2 linked regions of the Macaca mulatta genome follow. The protein of the gene in region 2 purifies or fractionates together with the protein of the main gene of each other region. This does not show direct contact. Links are inferred from orthologs where the notes say so. Each region holds a gene or a part of one and is shown on either strand. Other genes may lie near its edges.

The links.
Region 1: the proteins of NFKB2 (region 2) and FBXW7 purify together in Homo sapiens (affinity purification with mass spectrometry; 7 studies listed by BioGRID and IntAct, with this or other methods). This does not show direct contact. The link is inferred for Macaca mulatta from reciprocal best matches to the Homo sapiens genes NFKB2 and FBXW7.

What each region holds. Positions count from the first base shown.
Region 1 is NC_133410.1:161,006,783-161,017,061, forward strand, and holds the start of FBXW7 (F-box/WD repeat-containing protein 7), read right to left. Parts: upstream 6,163-10,279; 5' UTR 6,094-6,162; coding exon 5,593-6,093; intron 1-5,592. UniProt on the Homo sapiens protein: Substrate recognition component of a SCF (SKP1-CUL1-F-box protein) E3 ubiquitin-protein ligase complex which mediates the ubiquitination and subsequent proteasomal degradation of target proteins.
Region 2 is NC_133414.1:114,502,438-114,512,566, reverse strand, and holds the start of NFKB2 (nuclear factor NF-kappa-B p100 subunit), read right to left. Parts: upstream 5,465-10,129; 5' UTR 4,956-5,464; exon of another isoform or gene 4,799-4,955; intron 3,947-4,798; exon of another isoform or gene 3,709-3,946; 5' UTR 3,637-3,708; coding exon 3,616-3,636; intron 3,345-3,615; coding exon 3,263-3,344; intron 3,147-3,262; coding exon 3,106-3,146; intron 2,867-3,105; coding exon 2,768-2,866; intron 2,692-2,767; coding exon 2,540-2,691; intron 2,285-2,539; coding exon 2,178-2,284; intron 2,085-2,177; coding exon 1,926-2,084; intron 1,629-1,925; coding exon 1,524-1,628; intron 1,398-1,523; coding exon 1,312-1,397; intron 1,231-1,311; coding exon 1,092-1,230; intron 880-1,091; coding exon 754-879; intron 323-753; coding exon 113-322; intron 34-112; coding exon 1-33. UniProt on the Homo sapiens protein: NF-kappa-B is a pleiotropic transcription factor present in almost all cell types and is the endpoint of a series of signal transduction events that are initiated by a vast array of stimuli related to many biological processes such as inflammation, immunity, differentiation, cell growth, tumorigenesis and apoptosis.

The sequences.
Region 1 (10,279 bases), on a different chromosome or scaffold from region 2:
AAAGAAAATATGGGCAGGAAAATAAAAACTTGGTTTGGGGAAAGAAACTACTAGTAGTTTCAGTTTTCAGTGGACCACTCAGATGATGATGCCCAACAGACAGCTAGAAATGCAAAACTATGGCTAGGGTGAATGAATGGAGCTTGAGAAATCATTTTGGAGTTATCTACCAAAGTGAAAACAAAATTCATCATGATATATTCCTATATCCTTTTTCTTCATACTGTCTTCCCTACCACCAACAAAAAACAACATTAAAAATGGATCAGATCATTATAATAATACACATGGGAAACAATTTTCTTTGGAAGTATTTTGAAGATAACTATTTGTGGTATTTGTGTATATTTCAGTGAGGTTTATCATCTGTATAAAGAACAAATCATTGGAGCGCTATAAAACAATTTTAAAATGGCCCATTTGGTGTGAAGATTATTCTTTAGTCTACAATGAAACCCCATAATTAAAATACTTTTTGAGCTGGGCACGGTGGTCCACGCCTGCCGTCCCAACTACACAGGAGGATCTCTTGTACCCAGGGGTTCAAGGTCAGCCTGGGCAACACAGCAAGGCCGTATCTCTTAAATAATTAATAATAGTAACTGTCATGACCTGCAGTGAATGAGATACAGTTTATCACCAACATTTAGAGTTATTATGGTTTAACACAATATTAACAAATATATTTAAAACTATATTAACAAGCATTAATTAGAAATTAACCATGAGCTAAAATTCATTGTGGCATCCATATGGAAGATTCATTAAAGCATTTAAATATACAGAAGCTTTAGCTAAAGATTAGAAGGAAGTCTACAGAAATTGACTTAAATTCTAATGAAAGGAAAGGGTACATATTTTATCAGCTAGGGAGATCTGTGGGTAGCATCGGCTTCAAAATTTATGTCTATTTTTATTGAAGATGGGCCTAGCTTATTATAGTATTCTTCTAATCCTCCTGTGTACCTTTTTAAAAGACTTTATTTCTCTACTTCTTTTTACACTAGAGGGTGATATGATGACTGAATGCTGAAGGTCGTAAAACATACATATAGAGACTGACAACCGCTGTGGGGAATGAAGTGTATTTTGTGGGATTTGGGGTAAGGCACAGGAGACAAATAAAATGATGTTATAAGGCCTGTATCTGTAAAATATCTTGAGTGTCCCAGACACTATGCTACCTGATTTACATAAATTATTTCACTTAATCCTTACAAAAACCTTAAGAGGTAGGCATTCTAGTCTTCATTTTACAGATAAAGTAATAGGTTCACTGAGATTACATACTTACAGTTACATATAAGTGGCATAATCAGAATTCAAACTCAGATCTGAAAAGTTCTTATCACTCTAATATGTTAAGGGAAAACCCATCTCACCCATTGTCCCCATTTCTCCCATTTCCATCATCCTCCCCACATGTTTAAAATTGGGCTAAACTATGCTGAGTCAATGTTTCATTTTTCCTCCCTCACAAAGGTAGGGGACATGGCTATTCACTGGGCCATGTTTACTAGTGGATGTTACTCAAGATGACTGCCTTAAATAGCATTTTTTGCTCTCTGGACATGTCTACACCAAACAAAATTTGAACTTACGTTATTTGTCTTGTAGGTAGACTAGGCCAGGGACTTTCTGAAGAAGCTATCATTCTCTAGAACTCTACAATAGAGTGTAACTTAGAGCCCTGTTATATTTCCAATGTTAGACACATTGTCCTACAAAGTTTCTCAGCAGCTCTGGTCCTAGGAGGTGGTTGGAGAATGGTGGACCAGATACCCTGATTGGTTAATGATCCTATTACCTGATTCCTCTATTGTTCAGAACTTATAGACAAGAAAGAAAGGGTCTTATGCCTCTAAACTCCAATATACTAGATGCTTCTCCACAACTCCCCCCCTCTCTACTTATTTATTCTGAAACAGGACTCTCTATGGCCCAGATCACTGCAGCCTCAACCTCCTGGGCCCAAATGATCCTCCCACCTCAGCCCTCAAAGTAGCTGGAACCACAGGTGCATGCCATCACACTCAGCTAATTTTTGTTTTTTGTAGAGACAGGGTTTTGCCATGTTTGCCCACGCTGGTCTTGAACCCCTAGGCTCAAGCAATCTGCCCACCTCAGCCTCCCAAAGTGCTGGGATCACAGTGTGAGCTACCATACCCGGCTATCCTTTATACATATGTATTTTTTGATAAACATTTATTTCTTATTTGAGGCAAATGGATAAACACGGTTTAATTACTAAGAGGAATCTAACAATCAGGATGGGAAAAAAATAGACTAATTTCAGGTAAGGAAGTTATGTGAGACGAGAACAGGTGGAAGAATCCAACAATCAGGATGGGAAAAAAAATAGACTCATTTGAGGTAAGGATGTTATATGAGAAGAGAACAGGTGGAAGCCACTATGACAGATATGGAAGCATCAGAAATTAGTGCTCAAACACACTTCTCTTCATCAAAAGATCAGGATACCAGATCTGGCCTAATAATTGTCTCATTTGTTTTTCATGTTAGTAGAAAATTAGTTGATATCTGCATAAAATATGTCAAAGATTCTTCAATATGAGCTGGGCATCTCTTCAGAAAACAATTTTAAAAAAATATATATGATAAGGATGTTGACAAAGGAAGTAAAAACTGAAGAGACAGACATTTATATCTGGAGAACCAAGTTGACTCTAGAATTTACAGGCTAGTCAAATTTAGAGGAACAGCCAGCACACAACCTCTGCTTTAAAAGCATGTTTTATGGATTCGAGAGAGTATGACCTCTATCAGATTTTGTAATAGCGTCATTTCTTCCTGATTACTTTAGCCTTGAGCTGTAAAATCTTCAATAGTGTTTTGTTAAGTGCCACAAAGAAAAGTAGTTAACTGAGCTCTCTGTCCTTTCTATAGGGTAGCTCTGATCACTTCAAATGGGACACAGTATTAGAAAATCATCACACGCCAGAGTCTCTATGACTATATTGGAAATCTTGTTTAGTGATGTTTGTCATATTCTACCATAGGGGGCAGCATAGTACATGGAAAGAGAAAGGGGTTTTTTGCAATTAGGCAAATCAGGATTAAAATCTCTCATCACTTAGTGTGATCTGGGGTGGATCATTTGGCCTCTCTGTAACTTCTGTTTATGTATCTGTCATAGGATCTTTCAAACAGTGTGAGCTTAATAAATAGCAATTCTTGACTATCACTTCCCTTGACTTTTAACATTAAGACAGTATGGAATTTTTAACATATATTGCTTGCCATAAGGCTCCCAAAAGAACAAACCTTTAGTGACAAGGGGGGAAAAACTGTCCTCAAAGTTTTGACAGTTTTCAAAATGCTTTCAAAGAATAAAGCAATGCAAGGAAGAATTAAACATCTTTTTTTCTCATTAATATCATATTTGCTTATGCAGCATATTTAGGGATGACGGATAAAATTCAGTCTAGCTGTCCACAGGGTTTGTTTATGAGAACGTCAAAAAATAAAACTTGAAAGGTATCCTGAGTAAAATCTGTAGAAAGCTAATCCTATATTAACATTTAAAAATGGGATTTCATTTCTTATGCCTCTACTCTCAAAAGTCAAAGTTTAAGACTTGAATGAAACTATGGTCTAGGGTAATGTCTGTAGAAGTGTCTTAACTTTATAATGATCAAGAATTTAAAGCTCTTCCAAAATAAAGTACTTGAACTAGTGAGAGCTTCTATTTATTGTATTAAAACATCTACAGACGGAGAATATTGACATTTTCTTTTTAGGTAAAGCAGTACTAAGCGACTTTTCTAAATGCTGTTGAAAGTGCTCCGGGAATACTCTGGCAGAAGGGTTTTAGGAATGGACAAAAAGGAAAACATTTAGAAAAATTTCAGACTGAAATCGTACTTATAGAAGGGCATCACTGTCCTGGCAATCAAATAGCTTTGTATTCTTCATGCCATACTTATGAAGGCAAATCATCTCATGATCAACAATATATCAAAAAGTATACATACACACTTATATAATAAATGCATATACACATCTATATTGTACATGTGTATATATACAAATGCATACACACATCTATCCCTGCTATGGTTAGGGCCCAGTCCATTCTTGTTATCTTGCATGTACAAGAATAACTGTTATTCCTGATTCAGAATCACTAGGAAAAAAAACTAACAAATTCAGTATACTTCGTTTTTAAAGAGGTAATCATCACACACATAAAATTTCTGTTAATGATTTTATCTTGAAGGTAAAGAAAAGATGAAGTACCTGTCAAACTTGTGAACTGGAAGGTTTCCTACAGAATATAAGGATGACTTTTCCTTTTGGAAAAAGATAAAGTTTTGTCTAACTAGCTTTTTTTGCTTTTAATTTAAAGTGTAGCAGAAATCAGCAATAACTCTGCATTGTTCTGCAAGGCTTAGTTTTGATTGAACCTCTTTCTGAAATAAGATAATGCAATTGGAACTTAAGTATTAAACCCCTATTCCTCTAACTGAACCCTCAGGAAAAAAAGAGCTGTATAAACTCCCTTTTGATATAGTAACCTTGAAGAAGGGGATTAAGACTGGGGGGACAGAAGGGAGGAATGACACTATATAAGGTCTGAGCCTTAACAAAGCAGTGTATAGTTGTTAGCGGTAGAGCCATCTGGCTGAGATCCAAAGCTACTGCTTCAACATCTTGAGACAGGGATGATACAATGGATGAAAAATCACTACTTGATGTCACGTCCTTCTTAGATCATGCTAGCTAAATATAATCTGACTTGCAGACAGGCTAGGTAAATTAGGGCCAAACACATTTTAGAAAGTCAAGGTTTTACAAGCAGATGTAAAACATGATTTAGCAATTCAACTATTATTAATCCAAGTGTGTAAGACACTTCATTCCAAGTCAAGTTAGGTTAAATGATATGATGTCAAATCAGTTAAATCAGTTTGTATATTGTTTATGGCCTAAAATCACTGTAAAATGTAAGAAATAAGCAAGTAGGAGTAAGAGGATGAACTACCACAGACATTATTTTAATGTCTATAAAACAAGTAAGCTATTATTCAAGTTAAAATGTTCCTTTCCAAAATATAGTTTAACTTGTAAGTCTATTCTACATGAATATCCACTATTTCTAATTCTCAAATCATAAATAACTAGAACTAATTTGAGGCAACTTTTGAGTAATTTATGCCTTAGAGTGACACTTGTAAATAGACAGCCCACTCCAGCAGCTGCATTTTGTAAATAAAAAGCTTCTTCATTACTTGATTTACACAAATCATATTTCACCCAAAACCTCTACACCCCACACAAGCTACTAATCCCTGCCCGGAACTCAAGGTTTAGACAAAAATTTGATGTTAATAACTTTTCATAGTAATAGGCTCAATTACTTTCCCTCCATTTGTACTCAGATTGTCCCATTATCAGTATTTCTACTTGTTAATACTTTCCAATACCTTCTGTAAAACAAAAAACTAGTTCATTTTATTATTACATATCTTAAGATTAATTTTTAGTAATACAAAGACTGAGAGGAAAGTTTCATTACTTAAAATAGGTATGTAAAGTTTCTCAAGTTAACAATATAATGAATATACTCACTTTTGTGGTTTTTGTATAGAATGGGGAGGAGAGCTGGTGAACGGGCAGGTCCACAATACTACTGGAGTTTGTGACACTGTTACTATGTGTATGTTCATCTTCTCTGCTACTATCATCTGACTGATCAAAATCATCACTCTCCTGGTCCATCTCCTCCTCCTCCTCATCCTCCTCATCTTGTTCACCAGCATGTTCTTCATCTTCCTCTTGTTCTTCTTGGTTTCCTGAGGAGTCCTCATCTACTGAAATAAATCTATTATTGTTTTCTTCCAATTGTCCTTGCTGGGAATCATTTTGGCCTCCAGGTCTAGGTTCTACTCCAACAACTTCACCATTCCTTGCAGTGTGCTCCTCCTCTTGTTGTCTAAGTTGCTGTTGCTGTTCCTCCTCTACCACACGATTCATCTGTTCTTCATCTACCTGGCTTGAGGAAGGGTTACCTCTCAGAGAGCCTCCAGTTCGTCGTCTTTTGCTGCCCACAGAGAGCAGTTCCTGATTCATTTCCAAAAGCCAGCTTGCTACTTCTTGGACCTTGGCTAGACTATCAGAAGATGCAAAGGTTTTCACATTCTGCAGGGGAAAATAGTGGAAAAAACAAGATTTGTACAATCTATATTATGTTCTACTTTCATGTTATATGTCTACATTCTAAATATCATTAATGATTGCAAAAAAGTATTGATGCCACCAAGGCATTAAAATGCTTTTTAGTAAACAATATAGAACATTTCAATTTTAAAAGTTATAAGACTTTATAAAGACATGCACAAAAACCATAGTAAACAACATTAATCGCTTTTAATAATTTTTAGCATAAAGATTTATAGTTTAATTCCTTTGACCAATAAAACATAAGCATATAAAACAATTTCAACTTTACATCAGTAGTTCATAGACTATATCCTATATAAAACTTCCACAAAATTTTAAGAAGTGTATCAAAAAAAAATTTCAGTGTTCAGTTAAATTTGGGAAATGCTGAGGTAAATCAGATTAAAAGGCTTTTTATCCTGGTATTTCCCAAACTTCTCTGATCACAGAATCTTGCCTTCAGACACAGTTTTCAAGCAGGTAACAATTATAATCATTATTATTTTAATTCTTTTACAAATGACTGGACAGAAACAAAAAATTTATTTAAAAAAAAAAGTTCATAAGTTCATACCCTCTGACCCAGTAACTCCACTTCTGGCAATCTATCCTAAGGAAGTAATCCTAAAACAGAAAAAAAAAATTATACAGAGGATGCTCACTGCAGTTTATCCACAAAAGCAAATATAAAGATAAAAATAAATGTAAATAAAAGTAAAAATTCAAATGCTCAATATAAAGGAATCTATGAGATGGGATATATACAGTGTAATCCCTAAACATGACGTTCATAAAACATTTTTTAAAACACGGATGTTATATTATATTACGCTAAGGGGAAAATACTGGAAATAATAATGATTATAATATGATTTTTAAACTGTATGAAGACTAGAAGACAACATTTCAAAATAAACTGCATCTTAGGCAGTGGTATTACAGATGCTTTAAACATTTCTGTTTTTATCATATTTCTCAATTTTTACATATCAAGCATGTTTACCTTTATGTTTTTTAAACCTGGCTCTAGAATTTTATCTGATACAGCATCTTTTCATGATATTTATTCTTACACTTTATCCTTTGTTGGTATCTATATGGACATCTTTGAGGTCAGATAAAATAATGCCAACATATTGTGCACACACAAGAAATTAAGCACCCGTGATCTAAAACTTGAAACTGTTAACAAATGAAGTATTGTCAATTCTAGTCTTTTTCAGAGAAAACCTTTAGTATGATTTACAACAGTGTATGATAAAACACCAACATCAACAAACAGAAGTCCATATCCTAAAATTTGAGGAAGGTCTTTTATTTCTTCTTACCATAATACAAAATGTCAAGATATATCAAATATTTGATATATTCAAGTTCAGTCACAGTTACCGATAAAATCATGTTATATATTTATATATATTAATATATTTTTATATATTAATATATTATACATTTAATATAATATATTAATATATATAAGTTATATATATTAATATACATAACATGATTTTATCGGTAACTAATGTGACTGAACTTGAGTTCAGTGAAATAAAATCTGATGGCTAATAAACAACATTAAGGTTCATGGATTTCTTGGCAACTGGATATGATGGGAACAGAAATGATTCAAGGTCAGGAAGAATACTAATAAAAGAAATAAAATTTTAAACTGAAAATGTTCCTCACTTTGCAGGCAAGGTAATCAGGCTTAAAATGATTTAGTAAATTTCTCAAGATTACTAGCTTTAAGTAAAGCAGGGACAAGAATTTAACACCCAAGTGAGTCTTCTTTCATACACCTTGAAGTAACCACATAAAATCCTGAAAGAATATTATTCTCTAACACTGATACTGCCTTCTTTTCCAAAACTAGAATCACTACAATACTCAAAGATTATTACTCTAAAACAAATTATTTGCTGAGCATTCAATATGCTTCTTGTACATGCCAATTTTCTGGAGGATAATGTTTAGAATAACGTATCTTTCAAGTTACCTGATGACATTTCCTCTTTTTGACCAGAACCCACAGTAAAATTATGTTTAACATCACAACTCTGCATGCATGCATTTAAACATATTAAAACAATGGTTTCGAGAAAGGGAATTATGAAACACTTCTGGTATCTAAAGTCCCTATAAATCACCACTGTTAATGAAATACAGTTGATTTGCATTCACAGTAATTGCGTTCTATAAAATTGCTGCAACCACTGAATTAACAAATACTGAGCCATTGCTCCTAGGGGAAATACAGTTCTCACAAGCCTCTGGTCACAACATTGTTGCCAACTGATCAACGCATAACCTTTTTTATGTGTGTTTCTGTCTAAATATATCTTTAATATAGATTGATTCATCAGCATTGAACTCATGGTCAACAGCATTATAACTAATGCCTGAATTAAGTTTATTTAATACACATTAGTTTATCTTTAAGGCAAATTACAACCTTCCTGCACTCAGGAACATTAAACAGAACTTCAGGGCTATGTTTTGGGGCCATTTTAAACTGCCCAATCACTAATGAAAAGCACCAAAATGAGGAAAATGCTATACTTTTCCTCATGGACCATGAAAATGACACTTGTTTACAGTATGACAGCTGCAACAAGAAGGCAGAGCATCACCCTGTTGATCTCAACTAGAAATAGGTTTGTCAGGTGGCTCAAACTTTGTGACACTGCATAGTACATGTCCACAAATGACTATGAAAGTATCATTTGAAGCTGTGAAAGTAACTGTGTTGTTCCAGTTCTGCTAACCTAACAAAGGATAAATGATCAGAGACATTAAAAGCTCCATTAAAGATATTAGTCAATGAATGTTTCAAATACATTGAAAGTTCAGATAGCTCTGATAAAATAAAGTTGGACTTTGCATAAAATAATGGCTGGAGAAAAGAACATTACTGTTCCTTTTGTAAGTGTGGGGAACAACATTCTTCTGGCAGTGTCTTTCAAGGTAGTGGAAAGTCCAGAGAGGTCCTGACCTATGGGTACTTTAAAAAGATGCCTACAGTCAACTCCATTCTGAATGAAAAAGAGGTATAATAATTCTGCTGTTCAAACAAATTTAAAATAGGCTATTTAAAGAAAGTAGAGCTACTCCACTTTCCCCAAATCCTAGAAAATACAGGGTAACTTTTATTCACTATCCTTTGTTGATTTAGTGGCATTTCAGGCCTACCTTGGGTGGGGGGGTGTATTTTACACAACTTTCTCATGAACTTTTAAAATATTTTCTCAATAATCTTGTTATTCAAAATGACCTTTGATAATTCAAAACCATTTGAAATGCTTACTCTAGGATGCTTAAAGGAATAAAAGTGGGCACAGATACAGTTGTTAAATAAGTGGAGCTCTGACAGCCTATCTTATATTGAACTACAGTTGCGAGCTTCAAAGGAAAATTCCAAGCCAAGTACTAACTTTGAAATCATAGTAGACACTGAGGAATACAGTTTATACCAATAAAACAAGAAGTACTTTAAGCAAATTACTAAAGCCTCTGAATCACTGGGCAATATTAACATTTTCAGAATTTACATGGGCTGGTATAATCCATTAGACTTGAGCTACAAAGTGATTTAAGAAGCTTTAGGACAAAGATAACAAGAAAGTAAACCAATTGTACTGATCATCAGGAAGAGTAACTCAAAGCTTGGAATCACTTTCTGCAAGAAGTTTAAGATTTTCACTGAATTCTAAAAGAGCCAACACCCATCACTTCACATATGAACTTCCTATACTCCAAATTAATAATTTATTAATTACTATGATTAGGAGTAAGTACCTGAAATGCATAATGAAATAAGTTTTATCTTACTAATCCACTGCTCAACACCCACTAAGAGCTTCCCATTTCACTCAGAGTAAAAGCCAATGTCTTTTATGGTTGCCTGTTGGGTCCTTCTATCACCCACATACATTCCCACCACTGTGAACTCATATTTTACTTCTCTCTTTCTCACTTTCTGTCACCGTTCTTTCTTGAGGGGTAAAGTGTGCTGCAACCTCAGAGCCTTTGTGCTGGCTATTCCTCTTTTTATTATTTGTACTTCCTTCATGGAGGACTCTGTTCAAATGTCCCCTAT
Region 2 (10,129 bases):
CCAGGCAGAACAGTCGCGCGTTGTACTCTCGGGCTGGGGGCGACAGAGGGCGTGGGTCAGAGCTGGGTCCTCAGCCCCAGCGCCCCGACCGTCCGTGCCCTGGAGGCCATACCTCGCTGCAGCATCTCCGGGGCCTGCGGCTCGCACTGGGGGGCCCTGGAGGGGGCGCTCGGCTCCGCGGCTTCCTCTCCGGAGTCCCTGCCGGGCACCGAGGCGGCCATCTGCGCCCCGCCCCCGCCTCCCGGGTAGCAGCCCATGGGGCCCGCGCCGGACTGGTAGGGGCTGTAGGCCAGGGAGGAGGGGAAGAAACCGAGGCTGCCACCTGTGGGTACAGGCAGGGCTGTGGGAAACGGGCACCAGCCAGGACTCTCCCAGTTTTGGTTTTTTTTTTTTTTTTTTTTTGAGATGGAGTTTTGCTCTTATTGCCCAGCCTGGAGTGCAGTGGTGCGATCTCGGCTCACTGCAACCTCTGTCTCCCGGGTTCAAGCGATTCTCCAGCCTCAGCTTCCCGAGTAGCTGGGATTACAGGCGCCTGCCACCATGCCCAGCTAATTTTTGTATTTTTAGTAAAGATGAGGTTTCACCCTGTTGGCCAGGCTGGTCTCGAACTCCTGATCTCAGGTAATCCGCTTGCCTTGGCCTCCCAAAGTACTGGGATTACAGGTGTGAGCCACCACGCCTGGCCTCTCCCTGGTTTTTTTTCCTCCACAGCTTCTCTTGCCTTTACCCCTCCCTCCCTCAGCACCCCCTCACCTCCTCCAGCTCCTCCATAGCCCCCCGCTGCACCTCCAGAGCCTCCACCCATGTGGGAGCCACCCCCGAAGGGCTGGGAGAAGGTGGGCAAGGCCTTCCTCCGCTTCCGCTGCACCTCTTCCTTGTCTGGGGGCAGAGGAAAATGAGATTGAGCCCAATTATTGTGTCATGCCTCAGGGGCCCTTCCCAGAAGAGCCCTCAGGCTGGCTCCTAGGAAGCACCTCCTCAGACCCTCCACACTCCTGACTTGGCTCATGCATCCCCACATCTAGCTCTTGGGACCTTCTAGCCCAGCCTGGCCCCCCACCATCCCCCTGGGGTCCTCAGCCCAGCTCCACCTTCCACCAGAGGGTAATAGGTGAACTGTTTGGAATCAGACACATCCCCTCCTCGCTTGCGTTTCAGTTGCAGGAACACTGTTACGGGCCGCTCAATCTTCATCTTGTGATAGGGGGGTGTCCGGAACACAATGGCATACTGGGGGGTGCAGGGAGACACAGGGTGTCAGTGAGTCCTTAGCCTAATTTAGCCCCCAGCCTGGGCCCTAGCCCTGGATACCTGTTTATGCACATCTGTGGGAGAGAAGTCCCCAAAGGCCTGCCATCCATTCTCATCATCCTCATAGAACCGAACCTCAATGTCATCTACAAGGAAAACGGAAGCTTGGCCGCAGCTCCCGGTGGAATCTCCGGGGCCATTTATCCTAGAGCTTCCCTGGCCCCAGTCTTATATTCGATGTCCTTGGCGCCCAGCCTGGGCTCCAGTCTCACCTTTCTGCACCTTGTCACAAAGCAGATAAACTTCATCACCACCCCGCACAGAGCCTGCTGTCTTGTCCATTCGAGAAATCTTCAGGTTTGATGCCCCCGGAGACTCTATGGGGTGGGATATGGATTAGCTGAGATGATGCAATAGCCATGGCCACATTTAAGGAGCTTGGTGCTCTGTATTCCTTATCTTAGCAACCCCTGGAGCTGCAGGAACCACCCAATATTCGCATTTACTAAAGATAGAAGCTTCAGGGGGAGGAAATGACTTGCTCAGGATCACTCAGCATCTATGTGGCAGGGCCAGGTTCTGAAACCCGGGCCTGTTTGACTCCACAGCTTAAGGTCACCCCTCGTGCCACCTCTGCCACCAGGCCTGGCACCCCAGGTAGTCAGGATACTCACTGCTGTCATGGATGGGCTGGGAAATGACTGGCTTCAGGGGCAGGGAGAAGGAGCCATCACTGGCTCTAAGGAAGGCAGAGAAGCGCAGCCGCACTATACTCAGATCCATCACCTTCTTCAGTTCTTTGGCCTCCTGCTCCAGCTCCCGCTGCTCGGCCTCTGGGCAGTGGGTACATGTGTGACCCCTGGGCTTCTCCCTCCCTGCTCCTTCCATGAGCACCTCCCATGACCCTCCCCCCACCGCACCCATACCCGTAAGGCCCTGGGGCCTAGAGCGGAGCCGCTGCCTCTGAAGTTTTTGTATCATAGTTCCCATCATGTTCTTCTTAGTCACGTGCAGGACACCCAGGTTGTTAAATCTGAGGAGATGGGAGAATCAGAGGCCTTTGGCTGTGCAGTTCTTTCTTCCTGAGGTGCCTTTCCCATTGTCAGGGCTCAGCTCAGCCCTACTTCCTCAAGGAAGCCATTGGAGTTTCTACTTGGGCCCTTGGGTTTGGGGCCAACCTACCTCTCTCCCCTTGGTCAGATGCTAAGCTCATGGAGGTGGGCTGGGGCTTAGGACTGGCAGAGAGTGAGGGGCATATCAGTGGGGGCCAGGGGTAGAGGGCACCTACTGGGCAGTCATGTCCTTGGGCCCCACAGAAACGGCGCAGATCCCCAGCTCCGAGCATTGCTTGCCCACCAGACTGTGGGCATGAGCACGAGGTGGGTCACTGTGTGTTACCAGGTCTACCTCGATCTTGGCTGGTCCCTCGTAGTTACAAATCTAGGAGAGGCAGGGACTGTCAGGGCCTTGGGCGTGCTGTCCACTTAGCCAACCCTCCAGCACCATCCTGGCTCACCTTGACAGTGGGATAGGTCTTTCGGCCCTTCTCACTGGAGGCACCGGGCAGTCCTCCGTGGGAGGGGCCTTCACAGCCATATCGAAATCGGAAGCCTCTCTGAAGGTCCAAGGGCAGAGTAGCATTATGATCAGGGAAGACCACCCCGGCCAGCAGTGACCACAGTGCCTGGTAGTATCTGCTCTGAACCACAACTACAGCACTCTGATCAGCAGCAGTGACCATCCAATCCCCTGTGGCCTCCTTGGGCAATGGCTCCTCCATGGCCTGCCAGCTACCACTACCCCATTTGTCCCCAAAGCTGAAGCCATTCCACACCCTCCCTTTTGCTTACTCACCTGCTTAGGCTGTTCCACGATCACCAGGTAGGGGCCATCAGCTGGGGACAGGGAGACCTTGCTTAGCCACTATCTCCCAGCCCTTCCCCCAGGCAGAAGGCACATGCTCTCCCTCCCCCTACCTTTAGGACTAGAGGAGGTTAGTGAACTTACTGACCTGTCTCTGGGGCTGGCTCCTTGGGTTCCATAATGGAGGAGTTCAATTTGAAATCATCATATTCAATAATGCCATCCAGACCCTGGTTTGGAGACAGACTGGGGGTGGCATCCAACTCTCAGCGCCCCCCACGGCCCCACCTCCCATCTCCAAGTCCTCAGTGGTCACTCCCCCTCCTCCTCAGGCCCAAGAGAAAGCTCCTTTTGGAGGCAGAGTTGTAGACAGATGGACAGACTGGTAGGCTGAGAGCATCTGCGAGCATGCAGGTGTGTGGCAGCAGAGGGGGCTCGGGCAGACAGGTGGACAGACACGGGGGGCGGCCGGCCGGGTCAGGGGCAGGCAGCGTGACTCACTGGGTTGTAGCAACTCTCCATGTCTCTGGGCTAGGCCCGGCTCTGTCTAGTGGCTCCGGCCAGGTTCTGCTTCCCAGAATTTTAGGCGCCCGCCTAAAGTTGGGAGGAGTGGCGTGGGGGAGGGGGTCAGATCTAAATGGGGGTGGGCGGGAGATGGGGGCCCAGATTTGGGGGACGGTCCGACCTCCTCCAGCCGCCCGTCCGGGTGTGGCGGGTGAGATCCGGTGGAGAGCGAGATCCGGAGTTGGGCTTGGCCGGGGAAGGGGCAGGAAAGTTAGAGCAGCTTAGGAAAGTCCCGAAAATACCAAGGGGAGGCGGGGCCGGAGGGGGCGGGCCTGGAAATGACGCCAGTGGCACCGCCCTCACGACGGGAGGGGCGGGAGGCCCTCGCCAGTCTACGGGTTCCCGCTGCTTTTCAGCGGGTAGAGGGAGAGGAGAGTCAGGGGAGCCGCGGTGGGGGTTAAGCCCCCTCCTCCCTCCAGGGCAGGGAACAGGAGGGTCCCTCACGGCCGTGGGGAGGTTGGCAGTCTGGAGCCAAGTCCGCCTCCCGCTCCCCTCCCCCGGTCTGGAGCAACCTTGGGAATTTCTGCCAGGAGGGAGGCCACGGCTGATAAACCCGGGGGCTTTTGGGGGGACGTTCCTGCTGTCTGATGGCCTCCCCTTCGAACAGCCTGTAGGCGGGGGCTCTTTCCTGTGGGAGGCCCCGGGGTTCTGCCCCGAGAACACGATTCTGGGGCCGCGGGAAAAGTGTCTTCTCCTCCGGCTCCTCTTTTTCCCAAACCTCGCAACAGCAGCTGGTTCCACACCGCACCGGCTCTGGGCACGCAGGCGACAGGGAGACCTCTGCACGCTCCCCACCCAATACAAGCGTGTGTCTCCATCACAGCTCCACAAGTGTGTTTCGGCTCTAGTGCTTGGGTGCATGTTGTGTGTCCATGGCGTCAACATGAGTGTGCAAGCGAGCATGTGTGTAGACAGGTGAGTCCTGAGCTTCTCAGTGTGGGTGTGTGTCAGCGCCTGTCTTGATGTACAGACACGGGTGAGCGTATCTTGAGTTTGTGCGTGAAGGGTGTGGGTGCAGGCACCAGTGCACCGGTGGGCACGTCTCCGTGTGCATGTGTGTGCGAGTGCGACTGCACGGACGCTGCCGTGTGTGCGCCAGCACAGGTACAGGTGTACGTACGGGTCCGTGTGTCTTTGTACAAGGATGTCGACGTGGATCTGAGTGTCGTTGCCTGCGCGCCGCTGCTGCTCTCCAGCCCCCGGCGCTGTCCGCTAAAGGCCCTCCTCCCGCTCTTCTCTTGTCCCGGCCACCCAGGGGTCTGAATCCAGCCACTCACCGTGGCGGCGGCTCTGGTTGCGGCTTCTCTCCGCGCCCGACCCACCTGGGACCGGTCGCGACACCTCGCCGGCCAGCAGGGCTTGGGGCCGGGAAAGCCCCTTCTCGGCCCCCCGGAGGGGGGAATTCCCATGACGTTTCCGTGCGTCACGCCTCGCGCCCTTTTTCATTGGCTGAAAGTTTAACTCTGGACTGGCGCAGCCAACCCGGAGCGACTCGGGCGCGCCCCTGAGAGGGGACAGGCTCACTCAGGGTAGGGAGCGGGGCGACAGGCCACCAGGCGCGACAGGCCACCAGCGGGGCGACAGGCCACTAGTTCGGCCGGCTAGGGGACCGCCGAGAAGGTACCCGCTGACCCAGCGCCACCTTGGGCCGGGAGCTTCCGCTGCAGCTCGGCTTTGGCTGCGCCTAATGCTTGACTTTCTCCGAAGCGGGGGAACCCCAGGGGGAAGCCGACGGCCCCAGCCCTCGGGGCCCCCACCCTGAGCGGCGGGCTGCCGGGAAGTTAGCGGAAGAGGAAGGAAGTTGCTTTTGCGGTCGGTCCCGGGCGCCCTCTGGCGGCCTTCATGAGGCCGCAAGGAGACTCCATTTGGCCCAGGCCCCTGTCTCGCTTTGTCTCATCAGCCTCAGGGTTCCGGGAGAGACAGTCCGGACCTCGGACTTTTATAGAAGTGATAGGTTCCCAGCGGGCCAGGACTCAGGAGCTCTGCGCAGGAGAAGGGAAATTAAGTGTTTATCCACCACGGAGATCTGGAATATTAGAACTGAAAAAGGCATCCAGAGTTTAAACAGCTCAAATTTCCACCGATGTGGGAAATCGCCTCTTTTTTTTTAGTCTCAGACTGGAATGCAGTGAGGCGCTTTTGGCTCACTGCAACCTCCGCCTCTTGGATTCAAACCATTCTCCTGCCGCAGCCTCCCGAGTATCTGGGATTACAGTGCCCACCACCAAGCCCGGCTAATTTATGTATTTTTAGTAGAGTTGGGATTTCACCATGTTGGTCAGGCTAGTCTCGAACTCATGTCCTCAGGTGATCCGCTGGCCTCCGCCTTCCGAAACGTTGGGATTACAGTCGTGAGCCACCGCACACGGCCTATTTCATTTATTTATGTTTTTGAGACAGTGTCTCGCTCTGTCACCCAGGCCTGGAGTACAGTGGCGCGATCATGGCTCACTGCAACCTCGAACTCCGGGGTGCACTGATTCTCTCACTCTCCTGAGTAGCTGGGACTACAGGTGCACACCACCACACCTGGCAAATTTTTAAATTTTTAGTGGAGATGGATCTCACTACGTTGCCTAGGCTGGTCTTAAACTCCTGGGCTTAAGTGGTCCTCCTACTTTGGCCTTCCAAAATGCTTGGATTACAGACGTGAGCCACTGTGTCCTGCCAAATTGCCTCTTATAGACCTTCCAGTTTCCATCTGAACACTTCTAGAGGCAGTGAGGTCAGGACAGGAATTCACCAAGTATCGAGTACATGAGTGGACCTCTCTCTGGTCAGTAGCGTTTCTCCTTAGCAGGTGCCATGAGTAATCTCCATGCCTGGAGTCCTCCTCCCTTAGGCTTATGGTAGAACATAGGCTATCTGGGATCTTTCCTGCAGCTTGCCCCAGACGTTTTTAAGAACAGAATCACAGGCCTGCACTGGCACTAAGAGAGACTATTATGGCTCTCGATTTGGGCTGTCTGTTTCCTATTACTTCCCCACCCCCCTTCATCTTGCCTGCAAATATAGTGTCCCAGGCACTAGGTTCGAGTACTTTAGAAGTTCTCATTCTCCCTCCCAACAACCCTAGGAGGTGAATATTACCTTTACTGATGAAGAAATCAAGGCTCAGAGAGGTGGAGTAACCAAACACACAGCTAGGAAGGGGCAGAGCCAGGATTCAAACCCAATCTGTTGACTCCAGGATGAAGCTCTTTCCCCTAAATTTATATAAAACAAAGCAGCCCTTTCCACCTTACTGTGGGCCTCTCAAACAAATATCGTAAGATTCTGCCAAACAATTTGCTGAAATCCAGATATGTTGTCTACTACATTTCTCCGGTAAGTCAGATTCCTAACCCTATTTAAAATGGACTAAGGCCAGACATGGTGGCCCACACCTGTAATCTCAGCACTTTGGGAAGCCAAGGCTTGTGGATCATTTGAGCCCAGGAGTTCGAGACCAGCCTTGGCAACATGGTGAAACCCCGTCTCAAAAAATATAAAACTTGGCCAGTCTCATAACTAGGTCTCTAAATAAATAAATAAAAATTTAAAAATAAAATTTAAAATGGAGGAAATTCAGCTTGGTATACTCTAACTTAGTAAACCCGTGCTGGTTACCACTGATCACGTCTGTCCTTTCAAAGTGCTCACAAATTGCCACCAAAATTGGCATGGATTCTTCGAGTCCCCACAACATCTCTAAAAGCACCCCTAAGGGTTGAGCTATTTTAGTTACAAGAGTCTAAGCTGTAATTTATCTAAAGATTAAAAAAAGAAGACCTTTATTAGCGAACATTTCAAACATACAGAGATTTTCACTTTGGGAGGCTGAGGCAGGCGGATCACTTGAGCTCAGGAGTTTGAGATTACCCTGGCAACATAGGGAGACCTCATCTCTACTTAAGTTAGCTAGATGTGATGGTGAGTGCCTGTAGTCCTAGCTACTTGGAAGGCTGAGGTGGGAGGATTGCTCAAGCCCAGGAAGTTGAGGCTGCTGTGAGCCATGTTCGTGCCACCGCACTCCATCCAGGCTGGGTGACAGACAGACGCCGTCTCAAAAAAAGAAGAGTGGAGAGAATAGTATAATGAGCTCCCGTGTGCCCCTCTGTCAGATTCATCAATTCCTAATGCATGTTAGCCTGGAGATTTTAAACTAACTCAAAATAGCTTGTCATTTGCTAGAGCCTCATCTATCTGGGCTTAAGAAACCTCTTTGTTAGGCTGGGCACAGTGACTCACACCTATAATCTCAGCACCTTGGGAGGCCAAGGCGGGTGGATCACTTGAGGTCAGGAGTTCGAGACCAGCCTGGCCAACATGGTGAAACCCTGTCCCTACTAAAAGTATAAAAATTAGCTGGATGTGGTGGTGGGCAACTGTAGTCCCAGCTACTAGGGAGGCTGAGGCAGGAGAATCATTTGAATCTGGGAGGCGGAGGTTGCAGTGAGCTGAGATCACGCCACTGTGCTCCAGCCTGGAAAACAGAGTGAGACTCCATCTCAAAAACAAAAACAAAACAAAAAAAAAAAAACTTCTTCATTGCATGTTTCACTAATTTTCATCCTAATGATCATCTGTTTCTACACCCAGCCCTAGCACAATGCCTAGCCCAGAGCGGATGCACCCCAAATTTATTCCATTCATTTACCAATAAATAGTGAGAGCCCACTCCATTAAACACCGCTGTTTGCAGACAAAACTCCAACAGATATATATCAGTTGGTAGTAAGTGCTACAGAGAAAAATTAAGTAGGTAAGGGATTAGACAGTGACAAGGATTTTCTAGGTATCAGTCAAAGCAGGACTCTCTGATGAAGTAACAATTAAACAATGACTTGAAAAAGTAAGGGAGTGAGTCATGGGGAATATCTGGAGAAAGAGCGTTCCAGGTGGAGGGAACAGTAGGGCCAAGCTCTGATACAAGTGTTTGGCATATTTGAGGAACAGCAAGAAGGTTAGTAGGTGGAATAAAGTAATAACTTTGGATTTTGTTCTGATCAAGATGGAAAGCTGTGAGAGAGTTCTGAGCAGTGGAGTGAAAATTGCATAATGGGCCAGGCGCGGTGGCTCAAGCCTGTAATCCCAGCACTTTGGGAGGCCGAGGCGGGCGGATCACGAGGTCAGGAGATCGAGACCATCCTGGCTAACACGGTGAAACCCCGTCTCTACTAAAAATACAAAAAGAAATTAGCCGGGCGTGGTGGCGGGCTCCGTCTCAAAAAAAAAAAAAAAAAAAAAAAAAGAAAATTGCATAATGTATCTTTTTTTTTTTTTTTTGAGAGAGGCTCTTACTCTGTTACTCAGAGTGGTGTGCAGTGGTGTGGTCATAGCTCACTGCGACCTCAAACTCCTGGGCTCGAGTGATCATCCCACCTTAGCCTCCTGAGTAGCTAGGACTACAGGTACCTGCCACCAGGCCCAGCTAATTTTTGCATTTTTTTGTAGAGACGAGTTTCACCATGTTGCCCAGGCTGGTCTCAAACTCCTGCGCTCAAGTGATCTGCCCACATTGACCTCTCAACGTGAGGTCCATTGCCCAGCCTAGTTTTTTTTAGCTTTTAGATTTTTTTTTTTTGAGACAGGGTCTTGCTGTGTTGTCCAGGCTGGGGTATAACGTGTCTTAAAAGGATCCATTTGGGCTGCATGCCTGTAATCCCAGCACTTTGAGAGGCCGAGGCAGGTGGATTGCTTGAGCCCATGAGTTTGAGACCAGCCTGGGTAACATGGTAAAATCCCTTCTCTACGAAAAATGCAAAGATTAGCTGGGTGTGGTGGCATGCATCTGTATTCCCAGCTACTCAGGAGTCTGAGGTCAGAGAATTGCATGAGCCCAGGAGGTGAAGATTGCAGTGAGCCTAAATTGCACCACTGTACTCCGGCCTGGGCAACAGAGCGAGACCGTCTCAAACAAACAAATAAGGATCCATTTAGCTGCTGTGTAAAGACCATCGAATGCAAGGACCTATAAGGAAGGAGGGAGACTAGTAGTCCAACAGACAGTGGCTGAGGCTTGGGTGCTAGTGGATGATAAAGGTGGTGGGAAGTAATCGCAATTCTAGATAGATTTAAAGATAGAAGTAACAAGACTTGCTGAGGATTAGATGTAGGATGTGAGAAAAGAGGGGGTTTTGGCATAAAAAAGAATGGAATTGTCCTTTAGTGATGTGGGGCACACAGAGAGGAGCAGATTTATAGGGGGTATCAATAATTTTTCCTTTTACTTATTTTTAAAAATTATTATTATTTTTTGAGACAGATTCTCACTCTGTTGCCCAGGCTAGAGCGTGGTGGCGTGATCTCGGCTCACTGCAACCTCCACTTTCCAGTTTCAAGTGATTCTCCTGCCTCAGCCTCCAGAGTAGCTGGGATTACAGGCGCCCACCACCATGCCCAGCTAATTTTTGTATTTTTAGTAGAGAAGGGGTTTCACCATGTTGGTTAGGCTGGTCTTGAACTCCTG